3 linked regions of the Callithrix jacchus genome follow. The protein of the gene in region 2 purifies or fractionates together with the protein of the main gene of each other region. This does not show direct contact. Links are inferred from orthologs where the notes say so. Each region holds a gene or a part of one and is shown on either strand. Other genes may lie near its edges.

Region 1 (5,437 bases), on a different chromosome or scaffold from region 2:
GCCTTTAGTCCCAGCTACTTGGGAGGCTGAGGCAGGAGAATCACTTGAACCCAGGAGGCGGAGGTTGCAGTGAGCCGAGATCCTTCCATTGCACTCCAGCCTCGGCGACAGAGTGAGACTGTCTCAAAAAAATTTTTTTTAAATGTTCACACACATCAACATCAACACATATATACATATATCTAGAGAGAGAGATCAGTGACAAGTCTGTGGTGCACAAAGTGTGCAGGCCCCTTACTGTATGTGATTGCGCGTGTGTGACATAGAAACTGCTGCACTGCTTATGGTGGACGCAGTGCCTTGAGCGAAGTGTGCGTGAACGTGGCATCCCTCCGCGCACATCCACAGCTTTCTGTTCTGACAGCGGAACTGAATCGCAGTACACAGTGTGTAGGTGTGGGAGTCCCTGCTGGCCAGGCCTGGAGGGGGAGGAGGAGGAGGTGGGGAAGCTGGCGGGGGCTCCAAAATGATCCTGGGAGTATGTGAATCTAGAGGTGTGTGAGGCACTTTATGGGGCTGTGTGAGTTTGGGAGACAGTGTCAGGGTCAGGTGCACGGAGATGGTCTGAGTGAGTGATTTCACGAGTGGGAGAGACAGTTAGTTTCTGCGTGAGTTTTCCTCTGCTTAGACTAGCATCTTTTTCTTTTCTTTTTTTTTTTTTTTTTTGAGAAGGCATCTCACTCTGTCATCAGGCTGGAGTGCAGTGGCACCCTCTCGGCTCACTGCAACCTCGGCCTCCCAGGTTCAAGTGATTCTCCTGCCTCAGCCTCCCAAGTAGCTGATATTACAGGCACCCACCACCACATTGAGCTTAATTTTTGTATTTTTAGTAGAGAGGGGGTTTCACCATGTTGGCCAGGCTGGTCGCAAACGCCTGACCTCAGGGGATTCACCCGCCTCAGCCTCCCAGTGCTGGGATTACAGGCGTGAGCCACCATGCCCAGCCTTGGCTTTTATTTCTGAAAATATACCTGTGAGTTGGGTGGAATTTCTAAAAGGGAAGTGTGTACAGATTGTTTTTGAAGGAACAGTATATGTGTGTGTGCCTGAGTGTGTTGTTAGGTTGTATTTCTAAAAGGAAAATGTAGGTGTGTGTAGAGTTGTATTTTTAAGAGGAGAATGTATATGTTGATTTTTTTTTTTTTTTCTGTTTTAAACTGGGTCTTGTGCTGTCGCCCAGGCTGAGCGGTGCAGCTCCAACCTCCTGGGTTCAAGCGATCCTTCCACCTCAGCCTCCAGGTATGCCACCAACCACACCTGGCTAAATTTTTGATTTTGTTTGTAGAGATGGGGTCTCGCTGTTTCCCAGGCTGGTCTCAAACTCCTGGTCTCAAGTGGTCCTCCTGCCTCAGCCAGAATTCCAGAGTGCTGGGAATACAGGTGTGAGCCACACACCTGGCCTCCACTGTATTTCTAATGAGGGAGTATGTGTGTGTAACTATTTTTGGAGGGTACATGAGTATACCATGTTTTTTGTTTTGAGACAGAGTCTTATTCTGTAACCCAAGCTGGATTGCAGTGGCACGATCTGGGCTCACTGCAACCTCCACCTCCCAGGTTCAAGAGATTCTCCTGCCTCAGCCTCCTGAGTAGCTGGGACAACAGGTGCCCACCCCCACACCCAGCTAATTTTGTTTTGTATTTTTAGTAGAGATGGGGTTTCACCAGGTTGGCCAGGCTGGTCTCAAATTCCTGGCCTCAAGTGATCTGCCTGCCTCAGCTTCCCAAAGTGCTGGGATAACAGGCATGAACCTCCATGCCGGTCCCTGTCTTGTATTTGAGAGAAGGGGACATTTGTGTGTGTGTCAAATTGTATTTCAGAGAGGAGAATGTGGGTGTTGCATTGTGCCTTTAAGAAGGGAGGGTGAGGTGTGTGAGGTGTGCTTCTGAGGAGTGTGTGTGTCTAGGAGGACCCCAGAGGCATCGCCAGCTAAGCTGTGACCCACATACAACCACATGAAGTCCCATGGAGGGGCCCTGCCCACTGTGAGCTGGGCTTCAGACCCTCAGCTGTCCCATGGCCAGTGTGACATCCCTGGACCACACCTATCACATGTGTGTCCCAACAGGCCCTGGGCTGGCTGAGCCTGTCTGTGATGGAAGAGGGTGGAGCCCCTGTTACCTGGGAGCCGACACATGACCCCCTCCTCTACCCCCCCAACCTAGAGGCCTCCTGGGCTTCCAGGGGCCCCAGCCCCTCAGCCTTCTCCTCCCACCACACCCCACCCCCAGTGGTCTGACTGGTTCCCAACAAAAACACCCTAAGAATGAGCTCACGCAGAGGCTGCCGCCTCCACATGTCCCGCCCCACTTGCCCGGCAGAGGAGGGTGCCTCTCCCAGGTCACACGGCCGACCTGGAGCTCTGGGCCCAGAGATCCAGGGGCCTTGGGGTGGGGAAGGCTGGGCAGGTGAGCTGAGGGAAGATGGGGGACCCCCAGGCCAGCTGTTTGCCCTCTCTTGGTTAATTATGCATAGGATTTGGGCAGAACCCTGGGTTGGGAGGACAGAGGAAGGTAGGTTAGAATGTTCTAGATGAGAGCTGGCTAGGTGGGGGGCTGGGGGACAGTCAGCTGAGGGCTGGGATGTGTGTGGAAACTGGGATGCAGAGGGTATGGAGGCAGAGGGCTGGCCAGAATGGGTGGAGTGGGGAAGAGATAGGATGGGGAGAAGTTAGGGGTCCTGATGGCTATTATGGGAGTAGAGGCTGGGGCCAGCTTGCTTGGCCCTGGCAATGATTCCCTGACCCCCCCACTGTTACCCTCCAGAAGCAGCAATGTCTGTGCAGGTGGCAGCACCCGGAAGCGCGGGGCTGGGCCCAGAGCGCCTGAGCCCTGAGGAGCTGGTGCGGCAGACGCGTCAAGTGGTACAGGGTCTGGAGGCGCTGCGGGCAGAGCACTGTGGCCTGGCAGGGCACCTGGCGCAGGCGCTGGCGGGACAAGGCCCAGTGGCTGGCTGGGAGATGCTGGAGGAAAAGCAGCAGGTGGTGAGCCACTCGCTGGAGGCCATCGAGCTGGGGCTGGGCGAGGCCCAGGTATGAGGGGGGCTAGGTGGGGGGCTGGGGGACAGTCAGCTGAGGGTGGGGGAGGGCCAGGTATGAAGCTCACTATTGCAGAGGGGCACACTGGGAGCCTGAAGCCGGCTAATCATGAGATCAGGAGTTCGAGACCAGCCTGGTATCATAGTGAAAACCCATCTCTACTAAAAATTCAAAAACTAAAGGATTACATGCCTGTAATCCCAGCACTTGGGTAGGCTGAGGTGGGCAGATCACGAGGTCAGGAGTTAGAGACCAGCCTGTCCAACCTAGTGAAACCCGGTCTTTACTAAATATTCAAAAATCAGCCCAGTGTTGTGGCAGGCGCTTGTAGTCCCAGCTACTCAGGAGGCCGAGGTAGGAAAACAGCTTGAAGCTGGGAGGCAGAGGTTGCAGTGAGCGGAGATTAAGCCATTGTACTCTAGCCTGAGCAGCAAGAGTGAAACTCCATCTCAAAGTAAAAACAAAAAAAATTAGCTGGGCATGGTGGTACGTGGCTGTAGTCCTAGCTACGCAGGAGACCGAGGCAGGAGGATCACTTGAATCTGGGAGATGGAGGTTGCAGTAAGCCGAGATTGTGCCACTGCACTCCAGCCTGGGTGACAGAGCGAGACTGTCTCAAAAAAAAGTATGGCAGAGCCGGGTGCGGTGACTCACACCTGTAATCCCAGCACTTTGGGAGGCCAAGGTGGGTGGATCATGAGGTCAAGAGATCGAGACCAGCCTGGTCAACATGGTGAAACCCCGTCTCTACTAAAAATACAAAAATTAGCTAGGCATGGTGGCACATGCCTGTAGTCCCAGCTCCTCAGGAAGCTGAGGCAGGAGAATTGAACCTGGGAGGCGGAGGTTGCAGTGAGCCAAGATCATGCCACTGCTCTCCAGCCTGGGTGACAGAGCGAGACTCCACCTCAAAAAAAAAAAAAATGCCAGAGAGGCGCAATGCTGCAGGGCGAGGCCTGGGGAAATCAGGCCTGGGAAGGGGAGGCTCCAGGCCAGAGACCGAGTCCCTTGGCAGCTTTATGGGGTCCTTGTGACAGGGACCCCTGAACCAGATGGCATTCTTCAGCAAACTGAGTCCTGGGGTGAGTGTGGGGGTGAAATCAGAGGGGCCCCTGGGAAACTGAGGACACTGGAGCTGCATTGGTGGAGTCTCTGCAGAACTTGGGGTATTGTGCATAGCAGTGAGGGGCTGCAGCCTGATTTGAGGCCTGGGCTGGGTTGTGGGCTGCCTGGAAGGGTAGGAACCAGCATCGACTTAGGACCCCCACCCCGGGCAGGTACTGCTGGCCCTGTCAGCACACATGGGTACACTGGAGGCAGAGAAGCAGCGGCTGCGGGCACAGGCCCGGCGGCTAGCCCAGGAGAACGTGTGGCTTCGGGAGGAACTGGAGGAGACACAGCGGCGGCTTCGGGCCAGCGAGGAGGCTGTGGCCCAGCTGGAGGAGGAGAAGCACCACCTGGAGTTCCTGGGGCAACTGCGACAGTATGACCCATCTCCAGAAAGCCAGGTACCACAGGCAGGTCAAGGCGGCATGGGGGCTTCACCCTTCACAGAGCCCGACAGTCCCCCCAGACCCTCCTTAGAGTCCTACAGTTCCCCGACTCTCCTTATATTTCCCAGACCCTGCTTTGAGTCCTATAGTCCCCCAGAACCTCCTTAGAGCCCCCCAACCCTCCTTAGAGTCCCTCTGTAGAGTCCCACAGTCCCCCAGACCCTCGTTACAGTTCCCCTGACCCTCTGGAGAGTCCCACAGTCCCCCCAACCCTCCTTAGAGCCCCAGTCCCCCAGAACCTCCTTAGAGTTCCTTAGAGTCCCACAGTCCCCTAGAGCCTCCTTAGTGTCCCACAGTCCCCAGACCCCCAACCCTCCGTAGAGCCCCCAGACAGACCCAGCAGCACTCCTGTAGACACCCCCACCAGCTGCTCCACGAAGTTCCCAGAACCTCGCCTGTCCCCCGGGGCCCCTCACACTCGTGATAACCACCTCCCTCAAACCCTGAGATCCAGGGCCCCATCTCTGAAACCCACACACCTCCTGACCCCCCACTTTCCATGTCCCTGCAGCAGCCTGAGTCCCCGCCTCGCCGAGACAGCCTGGCCTCCCTGTTCCCCAGCGAGGAGGAGAGGAAAGGTGGGTGTCAGGGGGTACATGCCCTGAGGGATGGCAAGGGCGGGGAGGGGGCTCTGAGCTGCCAGACCCTAGTCTCTGAGCAGGGGAGGGGGAGGTAAGGGCAGGTTCAGGAGGACCCTGAATGTGACAATGGGCAGGGTAGCCCCCCTGCACGGCAGGCCCTGTATTCACATTCCACAAGGCAGGTGGGTTGCTGTGTTCCAGCTGGTTAGATGCTAGTGACCCCAATCTTAGAAGTCAGTGTTGGGGGTAGGGCTATAGTTTCAGG
Region 2 (4,782 bases):
TAAAGGATGTTTTTCTTAACTCCATTGAGTTGGTATGATTTATATCTAAAAACTTGGAATATACATTTGTATTTTAGTGAAAGCAAGGTCTTATATTTCAGTGGTGGTTAAGATTTAGTTTTCTGTTTATCAGTCTGCTTACTGTTTCCTTATCTCCATATTACTTCAGGACACAGCATAAAAATTAACTGAAAACAAGATATTAAGTAACTTAAAAGATTTTAAGATCTATCACAAAAACTAAGTTTTTGTTAAGTTTTTCTCTTACATAAAAGAGCATTGTGGTTTTAGCCTTGCCGTTTTGAACAGAGGTTTCCATGGTTTACTTTTTCTCATTTTCTGAAAACTCAGTTTTCTAGAGTCTTCAAGTAGAAAATTCATGATTATAATTTTTCACATACCTTGAGTTTGTGAGATAATTTGCAAATGAACTGCTATTAGGATAGTTAGAACATCAGGACAAGTTCATAGTGGATTTTATAAAGATTCTGCTAACTTGCAGCTGTAATTGTGTTTAGAATAATTTTAATGTAAAATATTTTAGTCTTTGATAGTTTATAATCTCTGTAATTAGTTAATCGTCACTTTGGATAAATAAGAGTATAATAATATGGCATATTTGAAAATACAAATTAGAACCATTCCTTATTCTTCGAATTCGGCCACATTTTATTTCATCTCTTTTGTTGGTGTATATGGAATTTATAACAATAAACTGTTGTTTTAGAAGGCATAGGAAATTTCTTCAAAATGGCCAGGTGCAGTGGCTCACACCCATAATAGCACTTTGGTAGGCCAAGGCAGGAGAATCACTTGAGCCTAGAGTTTGAGAATCAGCCTAGGCAGCATAGGGAGACCCCGTCTCTACAAAAAACTCTTTAGACAGGCCTGGTTGTACATGCCTGTAGTCCCAGCTACTTGGGAAACTGAAGCAGGGAGGATCATTTGAGCCTAGGTGGTCAAAGGCTGCAGTGAGCAGTGTTCAGGACAGAAACGCTGTTTCAAAAAAAAAAATTGAAATACAACATGGATAAATTGTTTAAAGCAAGCATCTTGTATTTATTTAAATTTAATAATTGATCCTTTCAGATACAAAATATTCAACTCTCATGCAAAGTACAACTAGAATTTTATGGAATAAAATTTGAAAATTTATGTTTGTTCTTCTGTTAGGATTATACAAGATAGACGAGAACAAGCAAAACAAGACTTGAAGGGTTTGGAAGAGACAGTGGTAAGAAAAGGACTGGGGAATATTTTGTGGGGTTTTTTCTACCATGATTATTCTGAATTTAAAGTCTGAACTCCAAAAATATTGCTGTTTCTTAATCCAAGGCAAAAGAACTTCAGACTTTACATAACCTGCGCAAGCTCTTTGTTCAGGACCTGGCTACCAGAGTTAAAAAGGTAATATAACTATGCCGAGGTGGGTGTTTGTGTAATGGTGCTTACTTCTAGGTAATTCTTTTATTCAAAGTGAAATAACTTTATAGTTATGTCAGTTTTTGTACAATTAAGCTTAGATTTTTTTTATTTTTTTATTTTTTCGTAATACTTACCTTCTTTTCTCAGAGTGCTGAGATTGATTCTGATGACACTGGAGGCAGCGCTGCTCAGAAGCAAAAAATCTCCTTTCTTGAAAATAATCTTGAACAGCTCACTAAAGTGCACAAACAGGTACTAAAGAGTTTATTTTCTGGTAGCTGAAAGGGTAGTAACAAATCAAAAATTGATTATTGGCAAGTATTTCAGTCTTTCAGAATTTCTATACTCTGAGCCATTTTATCAGAAATTATGTAAAGAAACCACAAGTAACTTTTAGAGGAGTTAATTTTAACAACCTTATTATCAAAAGAGATAGTGAAAATATGTATTCTTATTTTCTCTTTAGGATTTTAAGACTGCATTTTCATAATTTATTGTAATTTTGAAATCTCTACTACATAGACTTTGCAGTTAAAATACAGTCTTCTGGGGAGAGTGGTCTTTTTATACCTAATACACCACCCAGTGTGTCAAATATAATGAAGGAGTTTGTCATGTTTTTAAAAAGTAATGCTTACTTTGGAGGTTTTTTTGGTTCTTTGCTTATTTTTTGTTGGGACTTGATAAATGATTTAAGTTACTAATTTCAAAAAGTTTCTCTACACTTAATTGTTGTGTATCTTTGTTACTGTAAACCTGATGTTTGCACCAGAGTATGGTTAAAGATATTTTAGCTTTTCTTGTCTTCAGCACTTATTAAGGGTCTTGCTAAGTTTATGTTTCTTATGTGCTTAATATATCTAAAGAGATTTTCATTTCAGCAGATTACTTGTCTTACTGAAGAAACATAGCACTGTCTTGTAATTTATTGTCTTTGCCTAGTAGAGGGAAATAACAGTCCCCCCCCTCAAAAAAAATTAGAGGAAATTATACCTTTGTGAATAAATAGATGTGTATATGATATGTACAGATGGATGTATTCTCTGCATGTTTCTGCCTAAATTAGATAAATGGGAAACAACATAAGATGCAGTTTTACTTCTTTTCTAAAGAGCAATTATGAAATACTTGTACTTTTAAAAATCATTTTGTTAAATCTAGAATCCTTGTTTTCTTTGTGAACCCCTTAGTTGGTACGTGATAATGCAGATCTCCGCTGCGAACTTCCTAAGTTGGAAAAGCGACTTCGAGCTACAGCTGAAAGAGTGAAAGCTTTGGAATCAGCGTTGAAAGAAGCCAAAGAAAATGCATCTCGTGATCGCAAACGCTATCAGCAAGAAGTAGATCGCATAAAGGAAGCAGTCAGGTCAAAGAATATGGCCAGAAGAGGGCATTCTGCACAGATTGGTTAGTAGAACACATTAAAACCTTTAAACCTTGCTCAGTTTGAATGCTTTTAGTTGAAAACATAATCTGAATTTTATAACGTGTTTTCATGGTGCATCTGTCTTTATTTTCTAACTTAGCAAAGAGTGGCACATGGTGGGAAAGAGGAATAACCACATTAGCAGGACATGAAGATAAATGAGAACTAGAGAAGCAAGCAAGAATTGTCATGGAATGGAGAAACTATATAGAGCAATATTACTAAAGCCAAGAGAATTGCAAGAAAAGCCATCAGCAATGATTTCATGTTTAAGAATGATCATTGGTGGCTGGGCACAATGGCTCACGCCTGTAATCCCAGCACCTTGGGAGGCCGAGGTGGTTGGATCACCTGAGGTCAGGAGTTTGAGACCAACCTGACTAACATGGTGAAACCGCCTCTCTACTAAATACAGAAAATTAGCTGGGCATGGTGGTTAACAGCTGTAATCCCAGCTACTTGGGAGGCCGGGGCAGGAAAATCCTTTGAAGCTGGGAGGTGGAGGTTGCAGTGAGTCAAGATTGCGCCATTGCACTCCAGCCTGGGTGACAAGAGAGAGACTCCATCTCAAATAATAATAATAACCATCATTGGTGCAGGAAGTTTTTTGTTTTTTATTTGTTTCTGTATATTTATTTAAATGACACAGGGTCTTACACTGTCACCTGTGCTGGACTGCAGTGGTACAATTATGGCTCTCTGCAGCCCTAACCTCCCAGGCCCATGCAATCCTCCCACCTCAGCCTCCCAAGTAGCCAGGACTACCTACAGGAGCATACCACCACATCTGGCTGATTTTTGTATTTTCTGTAGAGACTGGGTCTTGCCTTACTGCTCTCTTTGGTCTTGAAATCCTGGACTCAAGTGATCCACCCACCTCAGCCTCTTGAAGTGCCGGCATTACACAGGCCTGAGCCACTGCACCTGGCCAGGAAGAAGATTTTTAAAGGCTAAGAATTGTACAGGTCCTAGAAAAAAGAATGGAACAGAAAAGAAAAAGTGATAGAGAAACAAAAAGGCAAAGAAAAACTAATCATTTGGAAATTTGTCGAGAATAAGAGAAGATACCTTAATAGTCATTGCTGTCACATCTTAAGCTTTATTCTAAAGCCAGTCTTTATTTTTCATATTAGCTAAACCTATTCGTCCCGGGCAACATCCAGCAGCTTCTCCAACTCATCCAAGTGCAATTCGTGGAGGAGGTGCGTTTGTTCAGAACAGCCAGCCAGTGGCAGTTCGAGGTGGAGGAGGCAAACAAGTGTAAACATTTATACATACCCACAGGTTTGTAATTTATACCTGGCTTTTCATAGCTATATATGGAAAATTGGTTGTTAAATGGTTTTGGGGGTTTTAAAAATTCTCATATTAGTGCTATAATTTTTTTAAACTTAAGCAATTATAAAAGTTATTTAGCTTGATCTTTTTTTATAGTTTAGATCATACTGTATTCAAATTTGTGATCTTAATTGTTTTGAAATCTAGCATTGGACCATTTGTAATAAATAGCTCTTAATGTTCTGTCTAATGGATGTACCATGGTTTATAAACATCCCTTTTTGCTAGATATGTAATTATATTAATTTGTTCCATAATTGAAATTTACAGAAACCACAATTTTTATGTACGAAATATGAAACATCGTTTTTTTTTTTGAGATGGAGTGTCACTCTTGTCACCCAGCCTGGAGTGCAATGGCGTGAGATCGGCTCACTGCAACCTCCGCCTCCTGGGTTCAAGCAATTCTCCTGCCTCAGTCTCCTGAGTAGCTGGGATTACAGGTGCCCATCACCACACCCGGCTAGATTTTTGTATTTTTAGTAGAGACGGGGTTTTACCATGTTGGCCAGGCTGGTGTCAAGCACCTGACTTCATGTGATCTGCCCGCTCAGCCTCCCAAAGTGCTGGGATTACAGGCATGAGCCATTGGG
Region 3 (5,506 bases), on a different chromosome or scaffold from region 2:
TGAAGGAAAATGTCATGGTACTTCCTGTGTATGGCCCATTTTTTTCTCAATTACCCAAATTGTCTTTAGAAGCACAGACCAGTTTTATTTATTGCTTTGCATTCTAGTTTCTGGTTCCTGTGCACATACTACATGCAAAAGGAGCCAAATAAGTGATTTTTAATTACGTTCCTCAGCCTTACAAAGTTCAAGTGTTTCAATATACAGGTCTAGGGTCTTAACATGTTTTTCCCTTTGACTGCTTAAATCCCCTTGTCCTTGTTCCCACCTGTGTGGTCTCGGCCCCCAGACTTCCTCATCTTCACTGGTGTAATGGTGTACTTGGTACGACTCTTCCAGGACACAAAGTTGGCATTAAGGGCCGCAGAAGTAAGGACTGGGCAGCAGGGGAGCAACATCAAGACAGAGGGCTGTTGGAGGAGGGCACTGTCCATCATCTGGGGATAAAAAGACATCTTTCATTTGAAAACTAGTTGAAGGCAAAGCATCAGAGAACCAAGGCAGAGTACACAGATCAATTTTAGCTTGTAGCCCACTTCCTCCAGGATGTGTCCCAAACCAGCCATCCAAAAACTTCACCCATCACAGCTCGCACAGCAATGTTTTCCTCTTGGTCATCTCCTTCCAAATTTGGCTCACAATTCTCTATCTCCAGGAATCTGTTCTTCTCTAAACAATCCCGTTCGTCAGAGCTCGTAACATCCACACATCCATGTACCACCATCAGTGCCAATTCCTTTTGCCCTCTGCATTATGTTTCTGGGACTCTTTCACATATGAAGTGGGGGTGGGTGAGAATCATTTCACTTTTGTTCCTTGCTGTATTCCCAGTATTTCAGAGTGTGTTGGTTTGGATTTGAATTTTAAATATACATCTGCCAAACTCTACCATAATCAGCCTGAGAGCTCCAGAGGAGCAAGACTTACAACTTATCTTTTGCGTGACTCACCAGTCACCTACCAGGACCTCAAGATATCTTCCCCCTAAGACCACTGTTCTTGGTATCTTGCTCTGCATTCCCTAACCTCAGCAGTAACTAATCCTTGCAGGTATCATATCATAATGGTTAAGAGCACAGGTTCTGAAAGCCAGACAGCTTAATTCTGATAGTTGATGTGTGACCCTGGACTCCTTATCAATTTTCTCATCTATAAAATGGGAATAATAACTGCCTTATAGAGGTTTGAAAGGAGCTCATTTATTTGAAACGTCTATTACCTATACCTTGCTTATCATAAGCACTCGGTAAATGTTAATTACTGAAACCTCTGCAACCGGTGATCTCCAAAGCACTTTCACCTTAAGTATCTCGTCTGAAGAATTTCGCCCTATAAGACAGCAACATTTGTAGAGGAGAAAGATGAGGCTGAGAGTGTGCCTTATCCAAGGTCACGGACCTGCGCGACTCCTGACCAGCCTGGCACCCTGCGTCTCGCATCCGCGCAAACCCCATCTCCGGCAGCCCGAATGGAACCAGCCTTCTTCCCGGTTAAGGTGGATTACCTGGGCGGCGGGGAACAGACTTGGGACAGGGGCGGCGACGGTCGGGGGTGCCAGGCTCAGAGAGCGCAGAGCGCGGGTCAGTGCCCACAGGGCCATCGGGTTAGCTAGGGCTCAGCAAGACACCCTTACTTTCAGCGAAGCTGCTCGGCGCTCCTAGATGAGGTTAACTGTCAGGCGCCGTCGCTCCGCAATAACGTAAAAGGAGGCGGGCAGAAAACTGGAGCCCAAGCTGGATACCCACCTCCTTTCTAGCTGAACGCGATAACAGCCAATCCGCGGGCAGCTCTAATGTCGCGTGACTAGGAAACGGGTCCCGCCCCTTAGACCCGTCAAAACAATTGCCTCGAGCGGCAGCCATCATGGATTTAAAGGGGCAGTACCGGCAAGAGCGGCAGACAGACCGGTAGATTGCAGGTGAGTCTTTGAGTCTTCAGTACCTCTGGGGCTGAAGGTTAAGATTTCTGCCATCTTTTATTCTCGCACTTCCAGAAAGATGAACAAACCCCCTTCAACCAACCTTACAAAACTCCGGACTCAAAAACTCCGCCCTTCGCGATTCTTCCCCGCCCCTCGGCATCCAGACAGACAGACAGACGGCCTGCCCCGCCCCCTGCGCCACCAGCTGACTCAGTGACCTCGGGGTCGTTAGGCCTCCTGGTCCTCGCTGGAGCCGCGGACCTCAGTCATCCATCCACACCTCCCCCCTCCTGCCCCCGCCCATCTCACTCTCCCAACACTGCGCCCCAGGGCAGGTCGGCAGCCCGAGGCATTCCTCTTCTGCGTTCCCAAGTCCGGGAGACCCACTCTTGCGCCGCGGTTCACTGCGACCCCGCAGCCGCTAAGCAGACGTCCCATTCTTCCCTGCATCATCGGGCATTAGGGAGGCAGCCTACGGTGATTCCTCTCAGAGCCTGTTTGTAGGTGACCGTGACAGAGACAAAGCCATGGAAGTGGCTGGGTTTGGAGTGACCAGGTGTTCCTCCCTCCCTTTTCCCAAGACACGCCTCTTGCTGTAGGTCTCTGATTAAGTCTCTTTCACTCTCTTCGTGGGAGACTGTAGCTCCTCAGGCCTGCGGTTACGGAGGCTGGCATGGGGAAGGAGAAGGGAATTGGGTGTCTTTGAAGACCTGTAGGTAGAAGGAGGGAGAGAGGAAGGGAGGGTGTTTGTCCTGGGTGGGGCTCTGTGCCGGGTCCTCTGGGTAGCTGTGAAGTGGTGAGAGAAGGGGTGGGAACGCTGGACTTCTGGACTTTGGGCAGGGCAGATCCTTCTGAGTCTGACTGCTGAACAGAGTTTCTTCCGGGCTCCGGCCTGAGTCCCACAGCCAGGGGTTCTGGTCTGTACACAGGTAAGAAGACTTCAAAGATTAGAAACAAGACCCTTCCGAGGAAGTGGGAACACAGCCTGAGTTCTGGGGGGTGGGAAGTATGGGTTGAAGGTTAGTGGGAAAAGATGCAGGGCTGACCAGGTTTGGAGATGCTGGACTTAGTTCTGCAGGTGATGCAGCCTGAAGGCCTTGAGTTTTCTGGGACTCTCTAATGTGGATCCTGCAAGGAAGGCTCCTGTTTTCTTCTTTTCACTTTCTTCACTGATTTAACTTTGCAGAGATTCCTTCCCTTTTTTCTAAACTCCTGCATTGTTTTCTGCATATCTCCCACTTCAACCCTGTTTCCTTTGCAGCTCTCCCGAAGTCCCTCTGTGATCCCCTGGGTGCTGTCTCTCATCCCCTGATTCCTTTTCCTAACCCAGGCTCTCTCTCTAACTGCTTTTCTGTTGTCTTCCTAAGTCCTAAATCCTTCTGCTAGTTCTAAGCACCTTTGTTCCTGTTACAGCCTTCCTTTGTTTAAGTCAGTTCATCTCCCTCGCTCTTTGCCCACAACCTTAGCTTTGAGTTAGTGATCTAGGCTCCCTGCCTGCTGGTCACTCTCTCTCTCCAACTAAGCCACAGGGTCACTCTTACTTTTGTCCCTTTACTTGGATTCTCACCACCTTCTAAGAAAGTTGCTCAGCTTCTCTATCTCATCTTTACTTCAGCTGAACTCTGTTGTTTCTTCCTAGACCAGGCAAGGATCCCTGGCCAGGATGTCAGGCCTGGTGTTGGGGCAGCGAGATGAGCCTATGGGGCACCGGCTCAGCCAAGAGGAGATCCTGGGCAGCACACGGCTGGTGAGCCAAGGGCTAGAGGCCCTACACAGTGAACACCAGGCTGTGCTGCAAAGCCTGTCCCAGACCATTGAGTGTCTGCAGGGAGACCATGAGGAAGGGCTGGTGCATGAGAAAGCCCGGCAGCTTCGCCGTTCTATGGAAAACATTGAGCTCGGGCTGAGTGAGGCCCAGGTGAGAGGGCAAGGGTGGCCCCCAAGTGGTTCGGGGTAGATGGAGGAACAGTTATCTGATTGGAGGTTTGGGGTTGCTTGGGATCACCTCGCCCTAGATGTTTGCATTCATTCATTAAATATGTATTGAGTCCCTACTGTGTGCCAGACTGCTTTTGGGTACTGAAGAGATACATCATTCAACAAAACTGTAAAAAATCTTTGCCATCTTGGAGCTTACCTTCTGGCTGGGGAAGACAAACAGTACATAAATACATTTGGTATGCCAGAGTGGTAATTGCTAAGGATAAAAGGACAAAAATGAAGCAGGGAAGGAAACTAGGGACTATAGAGACAGGGTATAATTTTAGATAGGGTGGTCAAAAAAGGGCTTACTGAAAAGGTGACATTTTGACAAAGATTTGAAGGGAATGAGTCATGGCATAAACAGGGGAAGGGTGTCCTAAGCAGAGAGAGCAGCAAGTACAGAGGCCCTGAACAGAAGTCTGCCTGGTCAGGTCAGTGAATAGCAAGGGGCCAGTATGCCTGCAGTAGAGTGAATGCAGAGAAGCAAAGTAGAAAATTAAGTCTGAGGGGTAATAGGGTTGGAGAGGAGGGAGATAGATCATGTGGAACTTGTAGGCCATCCTGAGGACTTTGATTTTACTTTTTTTTTGAAATGGAGTCTCCCACTGTTGCCCAGGCTGGAGCGGCGTGATCTTAGCTCACTGCAACCTCTGCCTGCCGAGTTCAAGCAGTTATCCTGCTGGGTTCAAGTGATTCTCCTGCTCCAGCTTCCCGAGTAGACTGGGACTATAAGCATGCACCATCAGACCCGGCTAATTTTTTGTATTTTTACAAATACAAAGATGCAGGGGTTTCACCACGTTGGCCAGGCTGGTCTTGAACTCCTGACCTCATGATCCGCCTGCCTCTGCCTCCCAAAGTGTTGGGATTACAGGTGTGAGCTACTGCACCCAGCCCTGATTTAACTTTGAGTGAGATGGAAATTATTGGAATGTTTTCAGAAGAGGAGTGATGTGGTCTAACTCGGCATCATCTGGCTGCTGAGTTACGAATAGACAACGGGGGAACAAGGGCAGAAACCAGGAGGCTAGTGAGGAAGCTACTCTATTTCGGGTGGGAATTGATAGTGGCTTGGCCTAGGGTAACGGCAGTGGAGGTGGTGGGAAATTGGATTCAGGGTATGTATTGAAGGTAGAGACATTGCTACATGCCTACCTTCTGGCTCCTCTGTGCCCCTGCCAGTCTTGCCACCTGCAGTAGGCTCCCCTTCCACCTGTACCTGAATACTCCCACCCAGAATCTGGAACTCAGGGTATGTGTCCATCTAGGTGATGCTGGCTCTAGCTAGCCATCTGACCACAGTGGAGTCGGAGAAACAGAAGCTGCGGGCTCAGGTGCGGCGGCTGTGCCAGGAGAACCAGTGGCTGCGGGATGAGCTGGCTGGCACCCAGCAGCGGCTACAGCGCAGTGAACAGGCTGTGGCTCAGCTGGAGGAGGAAAAGAAGCACCTGGAGTTTCTGGGGCAGCTGCGGCAGTATGATGAGGATGGACACACCACGGTGAGTGTGTGCAGGGGAGACTGGCTGAGGGGTGGGCAGCCGGGAGTTACCATAGACATGGGGTAATTGCCCTGTTATCCTCAGGGTCCATCGGCTCTACCCA

What was found.
Region 1: the proteins of KIF5B (region 2) and KLC3 purify together in Homo sapiens (affinity purification with mass spectrometry; 3 studies listed by BioGRID and IntAct, with this or other methods). This does not show direct contact. The link is inferred for Callithrix jacchus from reciprocal best matches to the Homo sapiens genes KIF5B and KLC3.
Region 3: the proteins of KIF5B (region 2) and KLC4 purify together in Homo sapiens (affinity purification with mass spectrometry; 4 studies listed by BioGRID and IntAct, with this or other methods). This does not show direct contact. The link is inferred for Callithrix jacchus from reciprocal best matches to the Homo sapiens genes KIF5B and KLC4.

The regions. Positions count from the first base shown.
Region 1 is NC_133523.1:39,523,851-39,529,287, forward strand, and holds the start of KLC3 (kinesin light chain 3), read left to right. Parts: upstream 1-2,164; 5' UTR 2,165-2,267; coding exon 2,268-2,409; intron 2,410-2,766; coding exon 2,767-3,032; intron 3,033-4,315; coding exon 4,316-4,546; intron 4,547-5,102; coding exon 5,103-5,169; intron 5,170-5,437. UniProt on the Homo sapiens protein: Kinesin is a microtubule-associated force-producing protein that may play a role in organelle transport. Plays a role during spermiogenesis in the development of the sperm tail midpiece and in the normal function of spermatozoa.
Region 2 is NC_133508.1:31,752,063-31,756,844, reverse strand, and holds part of KIF5B (kinesin-1 heavy chain), read left to right. Parts: intron 1-1,173; coding exon 1,174-1,234; intron 1,235-1,335; coding exon 1,336-1,407; intron 1,408-1,572; coding exon 1,573-1,677; intron 1,678-2,615; coding exon 2,616-2,832; intron 2,833-3,984; coding exon 3,985-4,115; 3' UTR 4,116-4,135; intron 4,136-4,782. UniProt on the Homo sapiens protein: Microtubule-dependent motor required for normal distribution of mitochondria and lysosomes. Can induce formation of neurite-like membrane protrusions in non-neuronal cells in a ZFYVE27-dependent manner.
Region 3 is NC_133505.1:51,537,401-51,542,906, forward strand, and holds the start of KLC4 (kinesin light chain 4), read left to right. Parts: upstream 1-1,865; 5' UTR 1,866-1,918; exon of another isoform or gene 1,919-1,993; 5' UTR 1,994-2,021; coding exon of another isoform or gene 2,022-2,081; 5' UTR 2,082-2,230; coding exon of another isoform or gene 2,231-2,374; 5' UTR 2,375-2,421; exon of another isoform or gene 2,422-2,850; intron 2,851-3,560; 5' UTR 3,561-3,584; coding exon 3,585-3,839; intron 3,840-5,172; coding exon 5,173-5,403; intron 5,404-5,506. Other genes in the region: MRPL2 (large ribosomal subunit protein uL2m), read right to left, coding at 269-437, 2,231-2,374.